7 linked regions of the Nothobranchius furzeri genome follow. The protein of the gene in region 5 purifies or fractionates together with the protein of the main gene of each other region. This does not show direct contact. Links are inferred from orthologs where the notes say so. Each region holds a gene or a part of one and is shown on either strand. Other genes may lie near its edges.

Region 1 (3,500 bases), about 2.4 Mb from region 5:
GCTTGTTGAGTCCCAGCATGTTGCACACCATCTCTCTGGAGTACGGCTGCTCCAGCACGTATCGCAGAAGCCCCGTTTGTGGCTCAAACAGGTCCTACACACAGGAGATACACACATCTGGGAGTTTTGACAGGACTAATAATGATAATAACAAAAATAACAGCTGAACTGAAAATGTTACCTTGTCATACGGCAGCATTCCTCTCAGGTGGAAGCGGAGCGTCGTGGGGTCCAACTTCCAGGAGTTACAGATGGCGCCGCTGTTATTCACCACAGGTAACAGGCTGCAGCGACCTGTAGGACACAGACATCCGCACAGGACTGAATCAAATAGGAGGAATTTTAGAAATGGCAAATTAAACTTGTAATTGTTTTATTATAAGGGTCTAATGGGAAAAATATAATCAGACTGAGGCCTGATTCTCATAGGGAGCTTAAGCCACGCCTATCTACTGCTGGACCATCGGTCCCCGGAGGAACGAAACAATGAATGCGAGTCAACGGGGCTAAAAACGCTCTTTTCCGATCCCGCTTGTTATGTGCCATGGATGGTAAATGGTAAATGGCCTGTATTTGATATAGCGCCTTCTAGAGTCCTGGAACCCCCCAAGGCGCTTTACAACACAACCAGTCATTCACCCATTCACACACACATTCACACACTGGTGGGGATGAGCTACGATGTAGCCACAGCTGCCCTGGGGCGCACTGACAGAGTCGAGGCTGCCGAGCACTGGCGCCACCGGTCCCTCAGACCACCACCAGCAGGCAACGTGGGTTAAGCGTCTTGCCCAAGGACACAACATCAGCGACAGACTGAGCGGGGCTCGAACCTGCAACCTTCCGGTTACGGGGCGAGCTCTCAACTCCTGTGCCACCGTCGCCTAGAAGTGTTTTGATACCAAGAAAGTGCTTATTTTTGAACGAGGGTAAATGCTATTTTAGGTTTTGTGTGAAAATAAGTCCAGGACTACCAACGTGCATCACCGTCATCGAACCAGACACGGAGACAAACGGGGACGACGGATGTAAATTCAGCGAACTTCAAATCCGTCCTTCAGGAGGAAAGAACCACCATAAATCTGGCCATGTGTCGAGTAGCAGCTACGCTAGGGGAGAGGAGATTCTGTGGTGACGTCATTATTGCGACGTATCGATATCTGATTTGTAGTCACGCTAATTATGAACATTTACAAGCTGATAATTCTCAGAATACATGGCAGGCGTGGTCGAAGCACACATCATCACTTCTAATTGAAGCACATCATATGTGCGATCCAGGAGTTGAGCAGATTAGATAATAGGTCTTTTAGCCCTGCAGCTCTCGTTAACTTGAAGTCCTTTTTCTGACCCATCACCCAACCAGAAAGGGAGGAGACTTAAGCTCACTATAAGTAGGGATGCACCGATACGATACTGGGATACCACTACCAGTATCGGTATCGGTAAAAGTTAACCGATACCAATGCAGTTGCTTGAAAATGGCTTCACTGTAACTTGTCATTTCTGTTCACCTAATATTTTAGTTTTATGATGATTTCCATTCATATATTTTACTTTTCATCTACCTCACAGTCTTTTCCTGGTGAAAGAAGAGAAGAAAATAAAATCTGTTTTCCAATCCATTGCATTTTTTTGTGTGGTAGAAGTATCGGTATTGGTAATCGTATCGGTGAGTACTCAGATATCGTATCGGTTTGGAAAAAAGTGGTATTGTTGCATCCCTAACTATAGGAGAAAACATTCCACTATTAAATAATCTCATTTAATTCTAATTAGACATCATCTTAAAAATATAATGATACAAATCTAAAAGTATACGTATATATTTCATCAATAAATGAACAAAATTTAGACATTTTCTCATCCAGACATCAGAGAGGATACTTTGCTTAAATTGAAGACAAAGCAAACTACATATTTTCTAAACTGGGGAAATAAATGGATATGAATGCATATTTCTGTTCACTTAATCAGGCCTTTTAAGGTATTTCTGATCTTGGTTTGTGTAAAAACAGACATGCTAAATAATTTTTTTAAGTTGCATTTAGCATCAATATCGGTATCGGCTGATGTTAATCATTCTTTAAAATATCGGTCCAATAAATAAAATCAGGCCGATATTAACAACCGATATTTTTTCCATCTTGTCTCCATTTGTTTGCCTGTTTCAGAGGTTGAGAAGGTGATGTGTATTTCTTTAGTCATGTGACAGTGATTGTAATCATCTCTGAAGTGTATGTGTGTGTGGTGTGTGCACATTTTAATGTAAATTCAGCTTTAATAATGTTCATTTTACACAAAATCTGCTGATTTTAGAATCATTAATGTCAGTATATCGGTATCGGCAAATATCGGTTATCGGTCAAAACAGTGATCTTAATATCGGATATTGGTCTAAAAATTTCATGTTGGTGCATCACTTATTTAAACACAATTCACTGGTCACCTTAGCCTGAATGAGGCCAAATAAAAGAATTAAATAATGAATTCAACAAACAAACCACAACAGGAATATATTTGAAATGAAAAAAAAAAACCTAAATGCATGACATAACAACAATAATCATGTTTACTGAAACTTACAAGATCAATTTTCATGCACATAAAAACGCATTTAAGCTCTGAATCAGCACCTTCCTATGGGGGTTGAACAAGTGAGAATGTGTTTGTTTTGTTTTACAATGTAAACACTGTCAAACTGACGCTTTTCTTATCTTGATTAATGGATTTATTTTTGTACTTTACTTCCCTCAGCTTGTTAAATAACACGACCTCCCCGCCTCGTTCTCAGACGAGCACTAGAGGAGGGGATGAGTTCACACGGCTCTCGTTGAGGCAAAAATAAAGAGAAAATGACATAAACACAAAAAGCCAATAGGATAAAAAAGGTTGAAGGTTATTCACCAAGTGATTTATTATAAATAATAATTTAACATGTGTAAAATATATTAATGTTTATGGCACCACAGAAATGGAGAATTTAGTATTTTGTATTTGACAAATGTAAATAACGTGCATTCTAGTTTATTTACCAGTAATTCTACATCTTTAAAAATCCTGTTGGCTTTAGTGTCGAGGCGGAATGAGTCAAAACTCTTTGGAAATGGAAAACAAGCTAATGAAAGCAACACAGATAACTAAAAAGTGTTTGAAACAACAACAGTCCCCATTTAGGAGATTGTTTGATATTTTATACTTCCCTGTCGTCTTTTGCCGTTGTTCCTCTTATTGAATTTCTTTTATTTCTCATATTTTTTACACGTGTTTGTTTGAAGGCCGTTTACGATTACATTTATTCACGTAGATGGATTTTTTATTGCAAAACTAATAAATGATATGAACGTTGGGTGTGTGTCTTACCACAGATGGAGTTAATTCTTGCAGTAGGTCTAAAACTGTCCACGAAGTCTGAGATCAAACTGCCTAAAAGCTACAGAAACATACTGACTATTAAGATATGATTTTAAAAATGCAATGAGAGGAAAATAAAATAAAGA
Region 2 (4,175 bases), on a different chromosome or scaffold from region 5:
AAAAGTCTTAAATTTGGCACCCTTAAACCTGCAGATACCCTGGGAAAAGAACAAAGTAGGTGAGATCATTTTTAACAGGAGAACACATTTCAACATAACACAAACAACTGTATAACTTACCTTACCGACACCCCGGTAGACCTCGGTCACCCTAGGGTCCAGCTGGGGCATTGGAACCCCTGATACCTCAGACATCACTGTTCCCACCTCGGTTTGCTTCTCTGTGATCTTCTCCATGATAATATCAGCTAAGGTCCGCCTGTGATGGTCACAAAGAGGAAAACAGCTGAGTATACGAACATAAACTTAACCTCAAAGTGGACTTTAGCAAATTCCAACAGCTAGAATTCAAACAAAGTTGTGAGAAATCTTGCCTCATTGGAGGGTTTTTATTCATGAACATCTCAATGGCCTTCTCATCATCAGAATCAACGATGACTTCAGTATCACCCTCCACATCACCATCCCCAGCACCTGCTTCTCCCAGAACTGGCCAATCTTCATCTGAGTCAGCATCCTGGGACTCAGGGCCTAAAATAAACAGGTCAGACAACATTAGAAAATATTATTCATGCATTCAGCAAAGACTTATTTCACCTAAATAGTTCTGAGAAGATCACGCTGGGAACTATTTTTCTCTGTGATCGTCTGACATTTTGTCCACATAAAAAACATTCGTCATTAGTTTTATTTTTGCAGAGAAATAAAGGGATGTTGCATAAGTAACACCGTATAACTAATTACAAAAACACTTTCGTGGTTTCTACGCTTGATAAACCAGACTTAATTAAAAAAAATACTGCCAATTTAAGGTCCGAAACCCTCCATCATACCGAGAACAGTGACTGGTGCTTTCCTCTGCTCAGGTGCCAGGCCATACTCGGTCTGCAACTCCTCTTGTTGAATCCGGGCCTGTTGTAAGATTTTCCTTGACAGACGTTCATCCACGTAGGTGTCCTCACTTTCGACCCGGGCGTCTCGATTCTTCACCCGGCCTCGGGCTCGGATCGTGTCCGCCTGGAGGATCTGGTCGGCCAGTGGCACCGCTCCTCCTCCGCCACTCTTCTCTCCTCCACCGCCACCTTTAGCTCTTTTCACTTTCGGCATCTTTCAAGAGTGACTCAAGCTGCGACGACGCTGTCCGTGTTTTGTTTTACCATTAGAGACACAAACAACGCGGAGAAAGAATTCTGTAAACAGTCTGTATTCTACACGTGCAGATTACCGTACGGCGGAAGTGACGATATACGTAACGTCTGTGCACTGAAAAACATATATATAACATACCATTTTATATGATGTTGATTTTATATGTTTGTATGTAACATACATTTATGCAATATGATTATAAAGTTTCTTGAGTTTGTTTTTTAATTTTCTGAAACAAGGTCGTTTACGTGCACCGGAAGTGTAAATGTTAATCCGGAAGTAATTGCTTCACGAGTGTTTTTTGCAGGCGAGAAATCAATGGGTGTTACTTGGTAAGCAGATTTACTTATGTTGTAGTTAAATGCTAACTGTAATAATATTTTTGTAATATATTTTATCACGCTGTGCATATGATTTCGTTTGGCATGTGTAGCTAACTCGGTGAATGTAGCCTTTATTTGCTTCCAAACCGTTTTACACTGAATAGAATAGTGTTTATTGTCGTTGTACGGTGTACAGCGAAATTAGAGTGCCACTCTCTTTAGTGCAAAATGGAAAACTATACAAAAAATAATACAGAAATAATATAAATGTAAAATGAACAGTAATATATATATTAGTTGGGTTCAGTAAGCAGAATTTTAGCATATTGAGTAAACAGAAATAGGACATTCAAATGTTATTGCACATGATCAATTTTGAACAGGTTGCTTCACGGTGTTGTGTTGTTCTTGTGCTGTGCAGTGTTTGCCAGGTGCCCGTGGCGGAGGGGAAGAGTGTCCAACAGACAGTGGACATTCTGCATAAGAAGCTGGAGCAGCTTGGAGCTGTGAAGCAGGGCAACTTCTGTGTAGACTGTGAAACATATCAATCAACAGTAAACGCTGGCGGTAATTTTCAGCTATTAACCATATAAATATTATCATTCCTGTTGTTTAGGTGCTTTAGATGGATAGTCTTCTGCATTGCTATTAATACAACTTGCTGCAGGGGAATTTGTCATATTTCTTTGATTAAATTCTGCTTTTTGAAAATGTTCTAATAATTATGTCAAATATTTGACTTAAACTCAATTGTCCAGGATATGTGTGCCTTGTGACAAATATATTGTCAAGCTATGTAATTTTCATTTTTACTGATCTTATTTCTCTGTAAGGTTAACAAAAACAGTCATCCATTGGGTAAAAATAGCCAGATTAAAATACAGTTGGTGTGTTTTAGAAAGGTTTTCTGTAAATCTTCATTACTATGTTATGCAAGGTTAAATGAGCCACGTTTCCACTGTATCTTTCCCCAGAAGTCAGGAACATTTAAAAAGCCCCATCCACTGCAAGAATCCGCTTAAATTTGTTTAAATGGGACAGCAGTAGCTCAGGAGGTAGAGCGGGTTGTCCAGAAGGTTGCAGGTTCGATCCCGGCTCAGACCAAAGAATTCTGCTGTTGTGTCCTTGGGCAAGACACTTAACCTGCCTTGCCTGCTGGTGGTTGTCAGAGGGGCCGATGGCACCAGTGCTCAGCAGCCTCGCCTTTGTCAGTGCGCCTCAGGGCATCTGTAGTGACATCATAGCTCATTCCCACCAGCGTGTGAATGTGTGTGTGTGAGTGACTGTGTTGTGAAGTGCTTTGGGGGGATGTAGAACCCTGTGAAGGTGCTATACAAACACAGGCCATTTACATTAAGCTCCTTGAAAAATAGTTTTTATTTTTATGTTTTATAAACATCCGCAACCCGGGGTCTATAAACGTTTGATTTGGCATTTATCTTTCTAAGTTACTACTAGTCTTTTTTTTCCAGGTTTCCACCAATGAGTCCATTAGCAGAGCAGTAAATCATGATCTAATTTAGCTCAAGTGTCCTCCAGAAAAAAAGGTGTCTGCTCTCGCATCCCTCATAAGCAACATTTATATAAACAGGACATGGTATGATTCTACTACTTACTTGTGTAATTTTAAACTTAATAAGCATGCTGCTCTAATCTGTGTCCAAAAATAAAAAAATCATGCAAAGTCATTATGCAAAAATTGCATTGTTACATTTTGCTGTTCTTCATGCAATTTCTCACTTTAAGTCTGGGTTTGTTACAGGTCAGCCCTCCAAGCTCCTTTATGTAATGCACAACTCTGAATTTCCCCTGAGCTGCTTGGCTCTGTTTGAAGGAGGACCCTGTTTGGTAGCGGACACAAACTTTGACGTCCTCATGGTGAAGCTGAAGACCCATTTCCAGAATGCCAAGGGACACAAGGTGGAGTGTCGCGGTTCGAGATATCGCTACTGTGACTTCTTGATTAAAGTTGGCACGGTCACAATGAGTTCCAGTGTTCGAGGGATATCAGTGGAGGTGACAGTTTGGTATTATCAGTTAGACCAGAGGCCCATTGTTCTCTTTTTTGACAGGATTAACCCTTGATGTGTTTTCCTCAGGTGGAGTACTGTCCCTGTGTGGTTCCAGGGGACTGCTGGAACCTCATGAAGGAGTTCATGCTGTCTTTTCTTGGCAACAATGTTCCTGAGCTTCCCACTGTATTTGCTGCCAAGCCTGAGGGTCTTTTTGCACCAGCAGACTCTGTCGACACCATGACTCAGTACCTGGAGTTGTTCAACAAGCTACGGAAGTTACAAATCACAGGAAGCAATGTGCACTAATAACATTTTTTAATGATTGTATTGATGTGTGTTAAATGTGGTCCTATGGAAACCGTATGATTTGTATAGTTCTATTTTTGTAACTTCAGTTTTGTATTTGTTTACCCTGATACAGTTAAAAGGAATACAGCTACAATCTATAGATGCAAATGCTCAACACAGACAAAAATAAAGACAAAAATCTACCTATTTCTGCAAGAAGTAAAAATTCCTTACACTCGGTGGGGAAATGTTGGTGTCACAGCAGCAATCATTCACATCAGGAGCAAAGAAGAACAAAATCCTGTAACATATGCAAGAAATTCTTAAAACATTCAATCGAATAAAAAAAATCTGTGCAGATAGACGAAGTTTATAATGAGGAGTGATGGCATGAAAGGAG
Region 3 (4,240 bases), about 22 Mb from region 5:
TGTCACATAGATTCAACGCCATAGAAAATGTGACTTTAAGAAAACCACATTTCAATACAAAATCGTGTGGACTTACCCCCGGACGGCACTCCGAATACTTCAGATCCTGAGTGTCCAACACAAAAAACCTCTCTTTGTAGTTATTTGGTGATGTTCTTTTCTTTTGCTGGGATTTTTTGATCATGGTTCCCCTCAAAATCACCCTGGGGAACATTGTCAAGAAGAACGCAGCGAGCGTCTGCGAATGGTTTTGTCACAAGCAGAGCCTCGCAGAGTCAGAAGAAGAAAAGGCAAAGTTGTGGATGATAAACTTCGTAGATGCTGTGGAGCTTCCGGCGTGAAGCTGCGGCAGGCAGTAAACCACATCCTTGTGGCAACAAATGATTTGCGCAAGCAGAAATACACACTGTTTGATGCACAAACACTGTAGATGTCTACCCTGCACATGTACTTTCACTAATGTTATAGAGAATTAACAAGTTAAGCCCAAAGCAGGACTGTGAATGCAGAAATCCAGGTTTTGGTAGTACTTTTTTAAACAATTGGGAAGATAAAATGAGTAACAAAACACAAAACATCACTGAAAAAAGTTAAGATAAAGAAATATCTCTCTTTCTCTAAATGTGTCTTTGCATTTAGGGGTTACACGTCAAAATATTGTTATTTTTCAGAGAAGTTTAGACTGTTTACAGTGAATGCAGTCCATTAAATTCTTGATTAAAGTAAAGAGTAAAAACTACTTAAGCCACATAAAAATTTACAAAACTCATCTAGGTGACAAGGAGTAAATAAATAAACGTGAGCAAACCGGTTCGGAACATTAGGAATTAAAATGCTGCTCACTATCTTTTCACAAGAGAATAATAGAATTCAGTTTGTCATTATCAACCCAATTTCTTTTTAATATCGATATCAACCCTTTTACACCGTTCTGTTTGTGGCAGGTGTTTCACATACATAAGAAATCACAATCATCTTTTTTTATTATTATTATTTTAGGATAAAATTCATAGATTTCTGCAGATTCTGAAAGAGGACAAACAGATCACAACATGCCCTATAGGTCATAAATTGTAAGTCGCTTTGGATAAAAGCGTCTGCTAAATAAACATAAAGAACAAACAATAACTGACATAGTTTGTAAAATGAGAACCCGAAGGAATTAATATACAGGTTATTGTTTTTATGTCTTTAAAATTAGTATTTTCATTCAAAAATATTCAACAGTTATCTGAATATTTTAGTAACTTTTCTTTTTCATGTATAAAATCAGTTCAGTTTGGGCATCAAACGGTACTTTTTCCATCGATCCTCTGAAGAACAAAGTAAAAGAAAAACAAATTTTTCCGTGCTTCCGGATATTTCTACCAATCAGCGTTGAGCTCTTTCTGTGACCGCACCCCAATCAGCGTTAGGAAAACAATCACGAGGACAGTTCAGCCAATAGAAATCAAACAGAAACGACTGGTCTTTTCTGCATTTATCGAAGAAGCTATGTTAGCCCTGATCTAATTTTCCAACGATATTTGATTAACGTTATTATTAGAAGTATATGTTGTGTTTCTAAAGGATTGTTCTTAAGGTGGGTATGAATACATTTACTCCCTTCTCATTTACCTTTTATGTAGTTCGCTTCATTTTTGACGTGCCCAATTAACTACCGGGATTAGCGGTGGCTATAGTTAGCTAGGTTTCTGTACAAAATGCAGCGGTGACGCTAACGTAGTTCTGCTTGTAGTGTTTGTCAATAACACATTGAGTCCGTAACAAAATAAAGGTAACACAGAAGACAAAGGTTCAATGGTTAGGTGCGTGCTAGGAGTTGAATTTGACTACTTAAATACCTAAGAACAACGTTTCAGCCAGATATTAAACCTATAATTATTAACTATGGCTAATAAAGCCTAATTTTACTTCAAACTAGATTGCAAATGTTTTACGCCAAAATGAGCAGTAGTGTGTATACTATAATTTACGTGTCATTTTAAGTTCATATCTACTTTTCCTACCAACAACAGCAGTAGGTGCAACTTAAAAACCCATCAGAATCTAGTTTTGCTTTGAATGTTTTGTGCTGGACTGGTGCTGCAACACATTAGTTTAGATTTTAGACTAACACTTTACTGGAAGTGTATGCTGATTATTGAATTTGCCCCTCCAGCCTAATGATAGAATCCTGCAGTTATTGGGAGAATGACGTTTGTCGAATTTTTAAATATATTTTATGTACAAGGATTTTGAGAATCTTTTATCGAAACTCTCAAAAAGTAAATCAAACAATAATAAATTCTTAATAAAAACATTTTATTTGTTACTGCAGTTTACATTTAACAGTATTTATTTGTACAAATGAGGGGCATTCAGGCTTTTACTACAATCTGTTATGTGTAATAGTGTATATCTTTTGATGCAGAGCTCTACACGATATGCTGTTACCTAATAAGTTATTGTGCTCATTAGGTAGCTGTAATGTATTGTGTAGTAGTAGTAATCAGCTGATAATGTCATGTTTTTCAGCTTAGCCATCAGCCACAGCTGGTTCTACATGAATGTGGAGCCGAGTTTTAATCTGAAGATGGAGATATAACTATGGTTTTGGGCTGAAATATTAAATTTAGAATAAGTTGCACTAAACTGCCACACTGATAATTGCACATGTCTACAGCACTATTAGACACTCATCTGTACAGGTTATCAGCTAAAAAAAAGTTCATTTAGGCATTTCTTGATCTTTAATAGTGCCTGGAATTCCTAATAAATGTTTTTTCTTTTTCTATACTTTCAGGTCTGCATCATGGGTGAACCACAGCAGGTCAGCGCCCTGCCTCCACCACCTATGCAGTACATTAAAGAGTACACAGATGAAAATATCCGCAAGGGTCTGGTCCCAAAGCCGCCTCCACCCATTAGAGACAGCTACATGATGTTTGGCAACCAGTTCCAGTGTGATGACCTTATCATTCGACCTCTGGAGAGCCAAGGCATCGAGAGGCTCCATCCAATGCAGTTTGACCACAAGCGGCAGCTCAAAAAACTAAACATGTCAATTCTTGTGAACTTTCTGGACTTGTTGGACATTCTCATCAAGAGTCCTGGCAGCATAAAGCGTGAAGAGAAACTGGAGGACATGAAGCTTTTGTTTGTTCACATGCATCATCTTATAAACGAGTACAGGCCACACCAAGCCAGAGAAACACTGAGAGTCATGATGGAGGTCCAGAAGAGGCAGAGACTGGAGACGGCAGAGAGGTTCCAGAAGCATCTGGACAGGGTGGTGGAGATGATCCAGGGGTGCCTTGCATCTCTACCTGATGACTTACCCCAGTCGGATGTAACAGACGGTGTGTGTGTTGGGACCAAGAGTGTGTCTGCTGGATCTAGTTTTGGTTGTTCTTCTGGACAGGCCCCCATTCTGAAAACCGAACCAATGGATGTAGAGGACACGGGCGCCAGCTGCATGGCTGCAGGTGATCAGGACAAGAATGTCCCAAGTTCAAAAACAGACAAAACATGGGACAAGGATGCTGCCATGTGTAGTATAATAGATGAGATAGCATGAAGATTTACAGCACATGCATGTTTTTACTTTTCACTCAGCATGAAATACTTTGTGTGGGATAAAAATACTATTATTTGTACATGTTCTTTTCAAATTCAACTAAATGTACTTGTAAATATTTCCTTAGCGTTTAAATCTTATACAGATCTTTGTGTTCACTGGGCTCAATAAATCTATTTGAAACCGCAGCAGGAGTTTAGTGCCGTCACAAAAACGATGATCTAATATGGTTCCACATAAACACAAAGTGCTTTTGTTAAGAATTTGTTGCTAATTCTGACGCTGTGGTTTGCTGATTATGCATTAGCGGTAGATGCGTAGATCCTTTAGCTAGTCGGCATATCAAAGAGCTTGATTCATCAGAGACCTGAGTAAAATTTAATTAAGTCATTCTGCCTTCTTTTAAAATGTAATGCAATGTAGACAAGTTTAGGGTTGGGGTGTGCTGAATTGAAAGGTGACATTTGATAGGTTTACGTCTGTCAGTCGTCTGTACATGTGATACTTTATACATACACTATTTTTCCAATAAAAATTCAAATAAAACCTATTTAATAGTGATGTGTCGGTCGCGAACGAACTGGTTCTAAGAGCCGGCTCTTTGAAGTGAACGACAGGAGCCGTCTCGTCATTGGGAGCCCTCCCCTCCCCCCTCCCCTTTTGCTTTGGTGAAAGCTGCAG
Region 4 (4,094 bases), on a different chromosome or scaffold from region 5:
AACATTTAATTTGTTCATATTTTAGTTGTAATGTTCATTTTCAGCAAAATATTTATGTCTCTACAAGTTCTTTGAATTTGGTCGTTCCTAAACAGCATTTTAGTTGAAACTCTGCTCACAGATGGACTCACACTGGCTAAATAAACGAATGAATAAATAAAAAAAACACATTAGTCATTATATGTTAAACGGCATACCAATAAATCGTTGTAAACATAGTACTGGCAAGTGTAGCTAGAAATGAGGAAAAGAGATATTAGAATATTTCCACTGCTGGGAGGCGAACCTGCGCAAAACTGCATGTCAACCTGACACCATCACCACTACACCACCACATCTGATAAAAATTAAGTGGCGTTACATTTTATTATGTTATTTGGTGTGTCTTTGTAGATGGGATGTATGATTTTTCTGGCGGTGTCTCAGTAGAAGTCATTTCAGAAATAATTTGTCAGAAAATTCACAGAATATCCAGATTTGAGAACCAAGACCAGACCCGCTTTGGGGGAGGAGACCAAATTGAAGCTGAGATGGGAAGAAAATGCATGAATGAGGCCAAAAATGGCTTTGGCGTGTTTCTTATGAGGAAATGACAATATAACAAGATTAAAAGTTCCAAAAGTCAGATTTTTAATTATATGGAACCTTTACAAAAACTGTTCAATTCACTTCTCAACTCCCTCCTCAATCTTGCATTTTTTAGCTATAACACCCTCTTTGGTTCCAGAATGCTATCAAGTCTGACAACTGGAAGGAATTGGACTGACTCCGATAGAATGGGCGGGGCTGATTCTGGAATGGGCGGAGCTGACTCTGGTGCAGCTCCACCTTCTGGTGCAGCTCCGCCTTTGTGGTTCTGCAGCGAGCACCACTTGATTGGTTCTGCCATTCTTTATTTACACTATGTTATTTAATTAAAACTATTGTGGTTGAAAAATGCAATTTTAGAATGCAAATACAATATGGATAATTTACATACAGCACAAATTTTAAGACCCAGTTGTCAAAATTCAAGACTTTTAAAAGATTTTTTAAGGTATTATTTTCTAAATCCTAAATTCAATGCTTTTGAGACTTTTTAAGACCCCGCGGGAACCCTGGACGGCGAGTAAGAAGGTCAGTGTCAAGTTCAGGTTGTGTGATAAGAAACATTATGTTTTAGATTTATTTTCTATAGAAGAATGAATCTGTCTCACCATGGCCTGACGCACAACTTTGGAGGTCTCCTGCCATGGTCGTGAAGCATTATGTTTGGCATGAAGTCTCTCCAGGAGAGCAGCTATCCGACTCTGCTTCTCTGCCTCTGATAAAGACAAAAAAAAAACATATTTCAGGTTGTGATGATGATTAAAAAGCAAATCAAATTTACTCGTGTATTCTGCCCAAGTTTGGAACCTTACTACACTCAAACAGATCATTTAAACTCGTCCTTTTAGGAATTTGCAAATATATAGGGGCCTTTATCTGTGAATTTCCAAAAATATAAAGATAATTACAATGTTTTCTTTTTTCAGAAAAAAAATTCTTTGAGGTTTTCAGAATCTGTAGTTTCAAAGATCTACCAAGTCTTTCATAACGTTTAGATTACAAAAACAACAAGGTGGCTCTTCTGTGGAGATTGTTAAACTATGAGAAAATAAAGAAGCCCAGATTTACCTTACGTCCTCATGTTGCCATTATCCGTAAAAAGCCATGGACATGAATTAGCTGGTCCAGTTGAAAACCAGATCCAATCTAGACATTCAGATATTTTACATGCAGTCTGAGATGTAGATGAATCATGCTGAAGATGTCTGTTGTAATGTATTTAGCCTACAAATAAGATGTGAACGGTAACAACATGTGCTATAATTTACAACAAATTATTAAAAGATAACTTATTATTTGTGAATACTGTGTTGATAAATTAGTTGTCCCTATAATAATTTTACATTCAGCCAGATTATGACACCTAAACTGTGGCTGTTTACATTTGTTGTGAACAAAGAACACCAAAACTAAGTTCTCTGTTATCATTTATCAACTTATTCAAAAGTTATCTTGCAGTAAAACATTTTTCTTCATCGTTTTTAAAGTACATAGGAAGGTGGATAAGGAGGGGAGTTCATAACGAGATTGTTAAGCGATTAAATACTCCCATCATTAAAACGCCCGAATTGTGGTTAACTGTCAATTACAACTTGTAACAATGAGCTAATGACGGATGACTGATTATTTCGCTTAGTTTTAAAAGCTAGTCTTACGTTCATCCCTTCAAATGATATACTAATTTGGTACAAATAAACTTGTTTTTAGTATTTTAGATATTATTGCAATCTGATCTAATGTTAATGTTGACGTTTGCATTTAGTTTATAAGACAGTAGCTCCTGCTAGCCATTAGCAACATAACAAAGGCAGAAATAAAAATAAAAAATAAATAACTGTATCACTCATAAAAAATTCCATTATTATATGTTTAATTATTTTGTCTGCATATTCAAAAATAGTCTAAATGTTAAAAATACGACACCAATAATAGTTAACACCGTTGGCTATCAGTTAGCATAGATAGCCTCTCTCACCTCTCCTAGCACTTCACGCATCTTAAAAAACTCTAAATAAACTAAAGCACCTAAAACAAAAGCAGGCCTCACCCGTTACATCTTCGGGTTTTACCCGGTCACCGATAGGCAGATTTCCTCCTTGTTGAACCGAAATAGAAAGTTCTCTGGCCGGGCTGCCACTTTGCAGAGAGACACCAGGCCCCGACGCCATTGTTCTCTCAAAGCTTCGAGTTCTCCGCGTACCCAGGCGGCTTCCGTACGCCCATCCTCTAGGACGCGAGTGTGACACTACAAAGAATGTAAATAACCCTGGTGTCTTTACAGTTTTCTTCTACAAATCAAATTTTCTTGTAATTAAAAAAAAGTTTCTATTAATAGTTCACCTGACAATCTCGTTTCATTTGTCCCTGCGCGAATATGTAGATTTATTTTAAAAATATAATACTTTCAGGGAAATTCGACTGATTATAATTGACAGGAGTTATTTTCTTTTATTGGTCAAACAAAACATTAAAACTGTGTCGAACAGCACTATATAACAGCACCTTCCTCCTAAGACAGTGACTTAATTATTTCTCCAGATGGCGTACTACTGCAAGGAAATGATTCATGTTTTGCCAAAAGCAACTGACAGGTTACACAATTATGTTTATTAACTGTAAATTTCAAGTAACACGTTTTGATTGTCGATCTCTTTTTGTCTATTGGTAAATCCCACTTTTAAAGTTACCACAGCTGCATATAAAGCAGCATATTAAAAAAATAAAAATGAAAGCCACAAAAGCAGTCATGCCTTGCAAAAACAAACGCATACTGCATGCAGACACCTGAGCCTATTGCACAGCTGAGCCTGTGGCAATGAGTGCTCTCCAGGGAGGATTTTCCCACCAACCATTATGACCTGCCTATGAGATAGAGCAGGGAGTGTGTTCATGAATATGTGTATTGGTGCATTTGCAAGGCTATACTTTAAGAACATGCGTATTAAATAAACACACAAGAAATAGACAGCACTGGAGATGGAGAGGGACTAGATTGGCATGATCTGAGTCAGTAGACAGACCTACAGATAGACATGAAGAAAAGAGGGGAGGTGCCGCTATGTAATTGATGTGCCCACCAGGAGCTTTAGCTGGCTGCTTGGCACAGAGGAGGATTTGGGCACTGCTGCCAAGACAGCAGTGGGAGAAAGGAAAAGGAGGCACGAGCCTTGGGGAGCACAGTAGTGGGCTGAAGCCATGCCCATCAATCAGAGGCTAGTTCACCTTGCCACGCCAAGTGGGACACCCCCCACTCCCTCTCTGTGCTGAGGGATGGTATGGCACTGGGAGTGAAGCTGGCACTGGACCTAAATCTTCCCTAATCTTCATGGTGGGTGTATCAGTGCCATGTCAGAATGGCAGCAGAGTGGGCAGAGCTAGACATGAGACAAAAAAGAGAAAGTTCAGCTGAGAACTGTTTGACACAGTGTTGTGAACATGAGGAAAAATGTTCCAGTTTTTTCACCTACAGGCTGAGTGTTAGGACAGTTCAAATTTGTCACGTCAAC
Region 5 (3,500 bases):
TTCTAAAACCCTGCCTACACCTCCAGTTCCTGACCTTGCTTCTGAACCTCGACCTTGCCACCTGCCTGCTCCCTGACTGGATTATCTCATAGTTTCTGATCTTCTGGACTCCTGACCTTGGATCTGTTACATGGACTCTGCCTCTGGATTTCCCCTCCTGACCAAGCCTTCTGCTTCTGCCCTTCCTACAGACTGGTAACACTCCCCTGTGTGTTCTCAAATAAAAACTTTAAAGCGTCTTACTGTGTCTGGTGCTTTCACGGGTCCTCCAGCCCTGGTTGTCACAAATAAAGAAAGAGTGGTAAAGAAGGTCATACAAAAACCAGCTTGATCAAGTGAGTCTTCAGCTGCTTTTTAAAGGAGACCACTGAGTCCACTGATCTCAGGCTCAGGGGGAGAGAGGTCCAGAGTCTGGGGGCCACAGCAGCAGATGATCTGTCACCTTTGACCTTTAGCCTGGTGCTGCACAACCAGTAGGCTTTGGTCACTGGACCTCAGGGACCTGCTGGGGGTGTAGGGACTAAGAAGGTCACCAATGTAAGATGGTGCTTGTCCATGTAAGGCCCTATAGACCAGAACCAGGATCTTGAAATGAACCCTGAAGTTGACTGGCAGCCAGTGAAGCTGGAGGAGAAGCGGGGTGATGTGGGTGTGTTTGGAGGACTTGGTCAGAAGCCGAGCACAGGCGTTCTGAACCACCTGTAGACAATAGGCTTTTTCTAACAACGTTTTTGAACAGAAACTGGATTTGATTTTAGGTTTTCTCTGTTAAAGACAGGATTCAGTGACTTTACACACTTCAACAACTTATGCACGTCCTAAATGAACCTCTCTTGTATATTCTTGCATGTTTAACGCTTGCTTTTTCAGGAAAAAAATGATAATTAATTGCGATAATTTTTTTTCAGATTTGCGATTAATTAGTTTATTTTAATGGATTCCCAGCCTTGGTTAACGACGTACATGTGATCTGAAAGTAGATTACCTTTTCTGTCTTCTCCTCCGGCTCGTCTTCATTAAGAAACTCTCTCTTCGGGTAGGGGATCTGACAGCCAGCAAACACACTGCAGGTGAAACAGATCAGTTAAAGGAGCGTGGGGGGGGGGGGTGATGTCACAAGTTCAGGAGAGCTCACTCTGTGGTTGGTAGGGGCTCTTCCAGGAAGTAGAGGTCCTGCAATGCCTGTTCTGAGGTGATTCTCTTTGTCGGGTCCATGGTGAGGAGTTTCTGAAGCTGCATGGAGAAAGAAGACTTTAGTACAGAGACAAGCCACCAGATGTTGGACTGTTTCCTCAGCGTGAGAGCGTATGAACGTTAGGACACGCTGTTTGTGAACGCGTTCTCCCAGCTGTTCGTCTGACTTTCATAAACTACTGATAAGACCAACACGTTATTCTGTCTGGTGCTTTCAGCGCTGCACAAATGCTACGTAAATGCTAAAAGTTTAGCTTACCTCAGCTTTTGTGGTCTCCTGTGCCACCGGGCAGCAGCAGCAGAGATCAGAGAAGATCTCTGCAAAATGTCCGCCACACGAGCTCCGTAGTTTTCAGGAGCTTTGCTTTTATTTTTACAAGTTAAGAGAAGAGGCGGACATGTTTACCAAATACTGCAGCAGTCCAAGCAAACCAGTTTCTTCAAATGAGTCCATTTTCAGTTAGCTGAGCACCGTGCGTTGTTGTGTGCATCAGTGATATTCGGCCTATGCTTGAAATGCAAGCTGTGATTAAACGTGTAAATAATCATAATTAACGCGTCTGTGACTGAATCCTGTTCTGTGTAGCAGACCTGAACCGATCTCCACAGGGTGTGTGTGACAGAGTGAACCCCGGTCCCACATCCTAAACACTCACCAACAGAAAAACTTTGCTGTCAGGCTTGACTTTGTGCTTCTCCATGTACTTGATCAAGCTGCTGTTTGCATACCTGTGAGGAGAACAGTCACCTTGTGTGACGTTCAGTGAAAGAAGTTAAAAGTGTTCGACGTCCCAGTGTCCACTCACGTTGTCCTCCTGAAGTCTTTTTGCAGGGTGGGGTACTCGGGCATCTTCCTTATGTCCTCCCAATCTTTATCTACAGAAAACAAACCAACGAGCTGGTTTCCCAAAAACATCACACTCTAAATAAAGCCTTACACAGGTACTCACGATTACTCGTGTGTGTGTGTGTGTGTGTGTGTGTGTGTGTGTGTGTGTGTAGACCTGCAGGAAAACCCATGACGCTGAATATTCGGTCTAACTGGTCATGATGGAAGGGGTTACTGGTCTTGATGTCCTCCTGGCGACAGTGAAAGATGGGCTCTGATGTTAGGAGCTCTGCAAAGATGCAGCCAATTGCCCAAATATCTAACAAACACACACACACACACACACACACACACACACACACACACACACACACACACACACACGCACAGTGATCAGCTGGTTTTGTCTTGCTGAACTCTCTGGGACCTATAATTTGTGTTTCTGCTCTTTGAGTTGATTTTTGAGTTCCTTTTACAGCATTTCTCGAGCCAAAAGTGCCTTAAAAATCTCTGCTAGCTTGAGTTAGCATGCAGCTAATCTCACGCTGATCTCCAACCGAGGAGAAACATGATCTTATGTAAGCGGCCGGCTCCGAACCCCAGAGCCACTTCTTATGGGCCATTCCCATCTGTACCGGGTCGGCCCGGGCCGGGTAGCCCCAGTCGGCCCCAGCCTGGCCCGGTTGATTCCACACATCCTTGTCTTAAGCCCATGTGGGCTGATTCTACCCACCAATCAGAGGCTTGCTCTAATGGAAGGTGTGAATTTGCTGTCAGCAGTGGGTGTGTTGGCCCTGGTCGGCCTGAAGCAGACCCCCTCGAGAAGAGGGCTGAGAATGAGCCTTGGTTGGCCCGGAAAAATACCAGGCCACCCAGATATGTAAACAGCGTACGCTACCCGGCCCGGGCCGACCCGGTACAGATGGGAATGGTCCATTAGCTTCTTGGGTAAGCTAAGTTAGCTAGTAGCTACATTGGTTCATTTGTTCCAACCCTGTTCCAGTTGTAACAGTCCCACCCTCAGCTCTACCTCTTTTCCTATTTTGGACAGTCTGGGCGTGTGACACATTCAAAATGGCGGTGGTGGGAACCTCCCATTTTCTCTAAAAGACTTATCATTTGAGCCTATGGACATTATTTGTCCATGGTAAATACAGTATGCCGATGGTTGTAACATGTGATTTTGCGTAATTTCCTGGATTGTTTTCATGATGTCGTCCTGGACCAGGTCACTCTTGCAAATTAGATTTGACATCTTAATGAGTCTCTCACCTGGTGAAATAAAGAATATTCTTAAAAGTGTGTTTCTCATCTGATCGCCTCACTCTACTTTTGTCTTGGCTAAAGACCCCCCCCCCCCCCCTTCATGTGCCCTTTCATGCTGGTATTCTTCTATGTAGGTTAGCCTATAGCAAGATAAATAGTAAACAAACGTCTGGCCAAAGGTACCCTTACCAAAAAGAAGTACACTGAAGTA
Region 6 (3,500 bases), on a different chromosome or scaffold from region 5:
CTGGCAATGCGGGTTAAGTGTCTTGCCCAAGGACACAACAGAAGCATTCTCTGGCGGGGGCCGTGATTAAACCTACAACCTTCCTGCGTTTGCTTTTCTGGTGTGTGTGTGTGTGTGTGTGTGTGTGTGTGTGTGTGTGTGTGTGTGTGTGTGTGTGTGTGTGTGTGTGTGTGTGTGTGTGTGTGTGTGTGTGTGTGTGTGTGTGTGTGTGTGTGTGTATTTTCATTAGCAATATGATACTAGTAAATATATTTTTTGCGTGTACAATCACTGATGTAACACAAAGTTAAGCATAAGTCTGAATATATCACTATAATTTTAAAATTCATGTTTAAACCCTCAATTGCACATATCTGTGCTTGTCAGATGCACACTGGGAATGACTTTGGGTTTTAGTGAAACCAAAGCAGAGTGAAAAGTTCATTGATCTGTGGTCTCACCCTGCACCGGCGTGGTGGAGGTCTGTGCGAGTCGGATGTGGTGCTCTGTGATGTGGTATGCAGGCTGGTGCTGGGCGATCTCGACGCTTGTGCATACATTGCTCTCCCCGTGGAGGAAGAAGGAGAAAGAACATGATAGGTGCTCACTGTGGACAAAAGATGGGCAAAATTTAGAAAATTAGAAATCTCTGTCAAAGAAAAAGGGACAGAAAGAGGAAAAAAGACTCAAATGAACACAAAAATACAACCTTTAAAAACGGATTAAGACTTTAGACTCCCATCTTTTCTCATTTTGATTAAACATGAAATCACCTCCACTAATTATTCAATTTTAGATTAAAATCCACTGCAATTACTTTTTAATCATGTACAATTTGAGATTAGCTATCAGACATACTGAAAATGTAAAACAAGTCATCTTTTCAGGTTGGAAGCTGTCAGGTGATGAGTGCTTTTCTCTGCTCAGATTCACTAAACATCATTGATCTTCTGCACCATTTACCACATATGATTCTTATTGCAGGTATAAATCCTCATTTCCTCATGACTGATCAAGCCAGCTACATGTTTACAAATGCAACTCTTTCTTTATTACACGCAGCCTGCATGTGGTTCATCATGCATTGCTGTGCTTTTTTTAATCAAGGAGGAATAATCGTTGGATCTTTATTGCAGTCTATGGAGCAGTGGGTGGGCTGGACATCATGTACCAAGAAAACCACTTCACTGATGTATATTTTTAATCTATAAACCTCCCTAATACCTTGGTTTATATATCAGTATTACAATAAAGTCAGAAGGTACTGTAATTGTCTTGTGATTACACTGCTGCCTATGCAATATCCCCTTTGCCCTGAGGGAGTTGGACCTCCATTTGAGCTGTAATGGATCATCAAATTCAATAAAATGGTCAGTTCCACACGCGTGTCCAGAGCTAAACACCATCTCTTTATGCTGGGGTTTCTCCGGTTTGACGACGACAGCCTCCAGATGGCGCTGAAGGTCCCCAAGGTGAGAGGAGGCCAAGTTTTCTGCCTCATATACATTCCTCATGCTCCCAGAGAGAAAATAAGGTAATGACAGCAGGTGGTTCAAACACTGTTCTGCACAATCTAAAGGTGCATGCATATGCATGCCTGCAATAACCTGACACTCAGGCAGAGATCCTTAGACACACACACACACACACACACACACACACACACACACACACACACACACACACACACACACACACACACACACACACACAATCAAACACGGCCATAGTCCATCATCTCTGCAGCTCTCTACAACAGAAAATGCTTTCAATGTCACTGCCCTCCAACCTCGTCATCAGCGCATCGTTCCACTCACACGAAGAGCTAAATATAGGTGGAGGCTCAGGGAAACAGCTGCAAGTCAAGGGTAACAGTCTGCTCTGCTCATGTGGGCAGAGATAGATGTCCATCATCTCTGTTGTCAGGATTTAATTGAGGCTAGAACTTTGCAGAAAGCGTGATCTAAACTCACTGATGTTTGTCCAACAGGCATGGACTGATGGGCTGAGTAACAGTTTGGTCTGACAGGTTAATGTTGCATACCTGCATGCATGAACAGGTATTATCTCCCATGTTAATGATCCTGTTTATATATTTAGGATCAGTTGCACATAAGCCTTTTTTGCATTAAATGCAGCTGATAATCAATGCATATCAAGTCAACCTGACACTGTGCATAAAGCAGCCCGGTAAACAGTTACAGCCTGATAACTAATAAGTGACAACTGTAACATGAGATCTATTGTAACGAGAATAAAGTGCAACCACATGCAAGTCTGGGATGAGCAGAGCCACAACAAAAAAAAGCATCAAGCTGCAAGCTGACCCAGCTGGGAGATTGATGCTCCCTGTCCTTTCACAAAGGGCATTTTCCTGCACCGTAAGCGGGTGTGAGTGTGTGGACACTCTGGGCTCCTCACATCCTCTGGGACTTTAGTGCAGTCGGCAGGCAAAAGCAGACGAGTGTGAGAACGTCGGCCAGAAATGTGTATGTGACTACAGCTGTGTGAGTAGGTATTAATAAATGAAGAGGAGAGATGGCTGAGACACGCCTAAGGGCTGACAGTACAGGAGAAAAAAGCTGAACAGACTGTGAAGAGGAAGAAAGGAAAGAGAGGAAGATGGAGACATGGGGAATTGAAGGCATGCATGAGTAGACAAAATGGTAAAGTTGAGAGAGTGAGAGGAAATTAAGAAGATAAGGAAAGGTAGAAGAAAAAGAGTGAGAGCAAAAGCAGTGAGACAGAAGAAGTGGTGAATAATTCAGTGCTGCACCCTGCAAGTGCTGCACACATATCGATGAGATCAGAGTTTTAATGGCTGGATACTGAGTATGATTTTATGGTGAAATCAATCTGCTAATGTACATCACACGCCGTCTGTGGGCATGCCTTCCTTCCCTATGCTTTAGGACGAGCACCGTGTGACTAAATGTGTCTTGCATTTAGAGTCTGGTGCACCTCTGTTAGCTAGGAAGACTCGGGTGCATGGATGTTACTGCCAGTGGGGTGGGGTGGGGGGTGGGGGGGGGGGGTGTTCTGTTTTGGGATCTTGTTACAACCTGAGTTCTCTCACCCCTCCACAACTCTAACAGTGAGCCAGATAGCCAGCCAGAGAGCTGATTAATGTCTGACACGCGTCACAGACTTTACACATTTGCACGAAAAATAACTCTGTGGAGAAAAAATGGCAATCATGATGAAAAATTTAGAAAAATATTAAAATCAAGGATCTTTGCTTTTAAGAGGAAAGTTAATCCAAGGGTTGATAACCGTGCTCAGATTGTCACCAAGTATGATAACATTTTCTCTCAAATCTGGGAGATTAATCTTCTTAATCTGCACCTTGAATGATTCATCTGCCACCGGAGTAGCAGGATTCTGAGTCATCCTCTTCCTTCTAGCTTTCTCACACTCTCCTCAGATGCACGTGGACCAGTCTAGGGGATGTTTACACTCTTGTCAGCTCTTGTGAGCAGCATGTACACACATCCACTTCAACTGCTTCCTGTGGACTGAAA
Region 7 (3,500 bases), on a different chromosome or scaffold from region 5:
CGTATTGCTACACTAAATTTACTCTTCCAGGTTAAATTTTCGGGCGCTACGCTTCCAGAACGCATCAAGCTCAGCAGTTCAGATCGGACCAGACAGGAAGCAAAACACAATATCAGTGTAAAACACCTGAAAACTTTCAAAATAAAAGACACTGCAGATTTCCAATTACTTAAAAAATTGCCTCTACCTTTGAAACCTCAGTGTCCGAGTTAAAAGAATTGAAAAAAGACCACAGACCCTTTTCAATACATGCGCCTGTCTTTCTATTTGCTTGTTATCACGTGAATTACTGAAATCACGCGTGATCTCGCAATCTTCCTGTGATTTCGTGGCCTTGTGGGATGAGCTGCTGGCGATTTGCATCTGAAACACTCCCAGTGGGAAGGGTCGTGCCGCTGAGCTCGTGGAAAAAAGCGACTTTTACGTTGCGCGCTACTTATACATCCAGTGGACAGGCCAGCTCACGCAGAAACACTTTAAAATCCCAATCAGGGACCAAATTGTGCAACAATCAGCAGTAATTACACATCTACCTGTCTTTGGTGAGGAGGCTGACGCTGGTCATCAGCTCCACTTTGCCCATGGTCCAGCTCGGTGTGTACATGCAGTCCTCTGGCAGTTTGATGGGTGACAGACACTGGCTGGGTAGTGTTTTTAAGGGGGCGTACATAGTTGAACCGATGATGGACTGACTAATTGCTGGCTTGTACACAAAGGAGAAGTCCTGAAAGCAGATAAATCAGTGGATTAATTCAACTGGAGAAAGAAAACCTTTGGTGCCTTTTCTCTTCTTGCCAATGGCATCACATGTCCCACCTTTAGTTCACATGGCTTTGGGCTGCAGTAACCCTCCTCCACCTCCATCCTGAAGTGGGTGTTGAGCTGGCTGATGTCCAACACGGTGAGACTCGCCCCTGTTTCCAGACTATTCTGGCTCCCAGAGTTCATGGGGGAGTATCCCTGCTGGTCCAGGGAGGGCGGGGTGGGAAACATCGTGTGCAGGTCTACTGTGCCTAGGAAAGTCGCACAGCGTTACAAAAAGATGACGTAAATGTCAGAATACATGTAAGCTACCGGTGCTCCTTACTTATGATGGTCGGTTGATCTGGCAGGGGGGGTCTACAGACAACATCTGTAGCATCTTCAGTTCTTCTGGGTCCAGGCTGAGAAGGACAAAAACAATCTTCAACAATTTTTTCTCATCAGCGTTTTAACAAGTGCAGCTTTGACCAAACTTAGCTTACCGCTAGCTCATCTTCATCGGAGTTGAATAGTTTATCCAGGTCGCTGTAGGACACGGCCAGGTCATTCTCATGGATGAGGCTGGTCGAGGCAGAAGGTTTACTGCCTGATGGACCCTGACCATCTACAGCAACAATATAGGGCAGACCTCAAATAAGACAATCAATTTCAATGAGTCCATTTCAATAAATGTCAAATCTGATCAGTTTCTCACCATCTGCAGAAGTTCCATTTCCTTCATCCATCTAAAGTAAAAAAAAAAGAAAGTTATTTTTTTGTTTATGAAATCAAACGGACCAGAACTACCCTCTAGACTCAAGTTGAAGTGTAATAATTATAAAAACGGAAATCCACCTTCTGTTTCTTGTTTCCTTCCTTCTCAGTCCCAGACTTGTCCTTCTTCTCTGTGAAGTTGTCGTCCTCGTCTTCCACAAAGGCGTAAGGGTCTGGCTCCTCGCTGTGGTCTCCGTCTCCTGCTGTGGAAGAAAGATGGCTGTGTCTCCGCTGAGCGTACGTCCTGACCAGCTCCTGGGAGACCTTCAGAGGCTGCGAGGAGTCGGACATCAACCTGAGAAGAGGAGAACTTTTAACATCCGCACGGCCGTTCTGTCATGAACAAACAGGAACACTCGTTCCACGTCAAATACGTACTCCGTGACAGAGACGACGTTTTCCGTTCCTCCACAATCATCTCGTGCTTTATCCACAGGCAGCTGAGGCGTCGACAGGTTGGAGGGCTTCCTGGGCAAGTTGAAATACTTCCAGGGGTTGTGGGTGGAGTCTTCATTTGGGTTTACAGCTGAACCTACAAACATCGTCAGTTCCAAGCTTTCGTTATAGGTGGGGGTGAAGGAAGGCACGGGGACGCTGTCCAACTGATGGTCCTCGGACGAGGCTTTATGTGGCTCCACTGACGGCGGGTAGATCGCTTGGTGAATAGGCGTGGAAGAGTTCTTAATGGCTCTTGGGGTTAAGTCGCTTTCTGCATGTTCACATGGATGTGGGCTGAGAGGAGGGGGTGGCGGGGATCCTACCAAGTCTGTGGGGGGACCGTGCGCGTGTAGCGTGGGTGCTTTGGGCGCCACTGTGTCGACGTGGTGCAGGCTGGGATACGAGCCCTCCTCCAGCTGTCTGGGGCAGAGCCGCGGGGTCTGTGGCTCCAGCGGCTGCTCCTCGCTCACAGAGTTGCGGTGATGAAAAGGCGTTTGTGGCCTCCTCTGCTGCTTCTCCCCCTTCTCCAGTTTCTCTCCCAGCTTGTGCTTGGGGGCTGGCTGGGCCGACTGGCCTGATGACGGTGGGTGTCCTGAGGTGCTGCCGGAACGCTGCTTCTGATTCTTATGCCTAAGTAGAAATAAACAATTACTATGAGGCACTTTTTGAAGAAACAGACACAGTCCAGCAAGTTTTAACCTGGGATTTTATTATGATGGAGTTATGATTGTTTTGGTCAAATCACTGCAAAATGTTTTGGAATCCATCATTACCGGGAACTGATTGACTCATGAGCTGCCACAGTTTAAAATTTGTATTTTTTTATGTTTATGTATTTAGCAGACACTTTTGTCCAAAGCGACTTACAAGTGATAATCGGCATGTTGCCCTTGAGGCTAACAACAACAACAACAACCAATTTCCAGTCAGTCGCAGGTGGCAGTGAGGCAGCATGATGAATCATTTCATGCTAATGCTAAGTGTTGGGAGTCCCATTTCCTGATATTTGGACAATTTGTCTCAAACTGGACAACAGCAACCCGACTACCACTGTTTCCATTTGCTTTGCAACGACGATGTTTTATCTCCACAAATAAAACAAACCTGGAGGAGCTTCTATCATGTGGTTGAGTTGCTAATGCTAATGGTTAGCTTCTGCTAGAAGAGACGTTATCTGCCGTTTTTCGATGCTAAACCAACAACAGCCTTCCCAGTCACGAGCCAGTATGGCAGGGTATCTGCAGGTTTAAGGGAGCCAAATTTAAGACTTTTTAAGACCTATTTTAAGGCCACTTTGACCAAATTTAAGCTATTTTTAAAATTAAGTTTAAGCTATAATTTCTAGCTATTGCCTGGAACCGGTGCTAACCACGTCGCGAACGTGAGATTAGCCATCCAGTTACCATTAAACCAACACATTCTCACACCCAAGGCGTCAAAATATGACGTGTGTGACCAAGCCTCAATATATGACGATTGGGGATGCCCCTGCGCGTCAGGAGATGATGATCAGGGACATGCCGGGACACGTGGCTCCGCTGGCATCA

Evidence for each region.
Region 1: the proteins of cdk19 (region 5) and med23 purify together in Homo sapiens (affinity purification with mass spectrometry; 5 studies listed by BioGRID and IntAct, counting the BioPlex papers as one, with this or other methods). This does not show direct contact. The link is inferred for Nothobranchius furzeri from reciprocal best matches to the Homo sapiens genes CDK19 and MED23.
Region 2: the proteins of cdk19 (region 5) and med20 purify together in Homo sapiens (affinity purification with mass spectrometry; 5 studies listed by BioGRID and IntAct, counting the BioPlex papers as one, with this or other methods). This does not show direct contact. The link is inferred for Nothobranchius furzeri from reciprocal best matches to the Homo sapiens genes CDK19 and MED20.
Region 3: the proteins of cdk19 (region 5) and med7 purify together in Homo sapiens (affinity purification with mass spectrometry; 5 studies listed by BioGRID and IntAct, counting the BioPlex papers as one, with this or other methods). This does not show direct contact. The link is inferred for Nothobranchius furzeri from reciprocal best matches to the Homo sapiens genes CDK19 and MED7.
Region 4: the proteins of cdk19 (region 5) and med1 purify together in Homo sapiens (affinity purification with mass spectrometry; 7 studies listed by BioGRID and IntAct, counting the BioPlex papers as one, with this or other methods). This does not show direct contact. The link is inferred for Nothobranchius furzeri from reciprocal best matches to the Homo sapiens genes CDK19 and MED1.
Region 6: the proteins of cdk19 (region 5) and mediator of RNA polymerase II transcription subunit 13-like purify together in Homo sapiens (affinity purification with mass spectrometry; 5 studies listed by BioGRID and IntAct, counting the BioPlex papers as one, with this or other methods). This does not show direct contact. The link is inferred for Nothobranchius furzeri from reciprocal best matches to the Homo sapiens genes CDK19 and MED13L.
Region 7: the proteins of cdk19 (region 5) and mediator of RNA polymerase II transcription subunit 13-like purify together in Homo sapiens (affinity purification with mass spectrometry; 6 studies listed by BioGRID and IntAct, counting the BioPlex papers as one, with this or other methods). This does not show direct contact. The link is inferred for Nothobranchius furzeri from reciprocal best matches to the Homo sapiens genes CDK19 and MED13.

What each region holds. Positions count from the first base shown.
Region 1 is NC_091742.1:26,121,528-26,125,027, reverse strand, and holds part of med23 (mediator of RNA polymerase II transcription subunit 23), read right to left. Parts: intron 3,434-3,500; coding exon 3,364-3,433; intron 295-3,363; coding exon 182-294; intron 95-181; coding exon 1-94. UniProt on the Homo sapiens protein: Required for transcriptional activation subsequent to the assembly of the pre-initiation complex. Component of the Mediator complex, a coactivator involved in the regulated transcription of nearly all RNA polymerase II-dependent genes.
Region 2 is NC_091743.1:46,651,350-46,655,524, forward strand, and holds med20 (mediator of RNA polymerase II transcription subunit 20), read left to right. Parts: upstream 1-1,375; 5' UTR 1,376-1,467; coding exon 1,468-1,481; intron 1,482-1,893; coding exon 1,894-2,039; intron 2,040-3,234; coding exon 3,235-3,488; intron 3,489-3,571; coding exon 3,572-3,793; 3' UTR 3,794-3,982; downstream 3,983-4,175. Other genes in the region: bysl (bystin), read right to left, coding at 121-259, 375-531, 834-1,107. UniProt on the Homo sapiens protein: Component of the Mediator complex, a coactivator involved in the regulated transcription of nearly all RNA polymerase II-dependent genes.
Region 3 is NC_091742.1:50,786,277-50,790,516, forward strand, and holds med7 (mediator of RNA polymerase II transcription subunit 7), read left to right. Parts: upstream 1-1,440; 5' UTR 1,441-1,582; intron 1,583-2,785; 5' UTR 2,786-2,794; coding exon 2,795-3,559; 3' UTR 3,560-4,109; downstream 4,110-4,240. Other genes in the region: itk (tyrosine-protein kinase ITK/TSK), read right to left, coding at 77-214. UniProt on the Homo sapiens protein: Component of the Mediator complex, a coactivator involved in the regulated transcription of nearly all RNA polymerase II-dependent genes.
Region 4 is NC_091756.1:39,221,577-39,225,670, forward strand, and holds the start of med1 (mediator of RNA polymerase II transcription subunit 1), read right to left. Parts: upstream 2,801-4,094; 5' UTR 2,757-2,800; coding exon 2,636-2,756; intron 1,735-2,635; exon of another isoform or gene 1,657-1,734; intron 1,304-1,656; coding exon 1,197-1,303; intron 1-1,196. UniProt on the Homo sapiens protein: Component of the Mediator complex, a coactivator involved in the regulated transcription of nearly all RNA polymerase II-dependent genes.
Region 5 is NC_091742.1:28,536,832-28,540,331, forward strand, and holds part of cdk19 (cyclin-dependent kinase 19), read right to left. Parts: intron 2,343-3,500; coding exon 2,199-2,342; intron 2,071-2,198; coding exon 2,001-2,070; intron 1,924-2,000; coding exon 1,851-1,923; intron 1,234-1,850; coding exon 1,136-1,233; intron 1,065-1,135; coding exon 986-1,064; intron 1-985.
Region 6 is NC_091746.1:54,183,761-54,187,260, forward strand, and holds part of mediator of RNA polymerase II transcription subunit 13-like, read right to left. Parts: intron 587-3,500; coding exon 441-586; intron 1-440. UniProt on the Homo sapiens protein: Component of the Mediator complex, a coactivator involved in the regulated transcription of nearly all RNA polymerase II-dependent genes.
Region 7 is NC_091753.1:50,234,693-50,238,192, forward strand, and holds part of mediator of RNA polymerase II transcription subunit 13-like, read right to left. Parts: intron 2,584-3,500; coding exon 1,894-2,583; intron 1,811-1,893; coding exon 1,597-1,810; intron 1,488-1,596; coding exon 1,457-1,487; intron 1,367-1,456; coding exon 1,245-1,366; intron 1,164-1,244; coding exon 1,088-1,163; intron 1,014-1,087; coding exon 817-1,013; intron 725-816; coding exon 534-724; intron 1-533. UniProt on the Homo sapiens protein: Component of the Mediator complex, a coactivator involved in the regulated transcription of nearly all RNA polymerase II-dependent genes.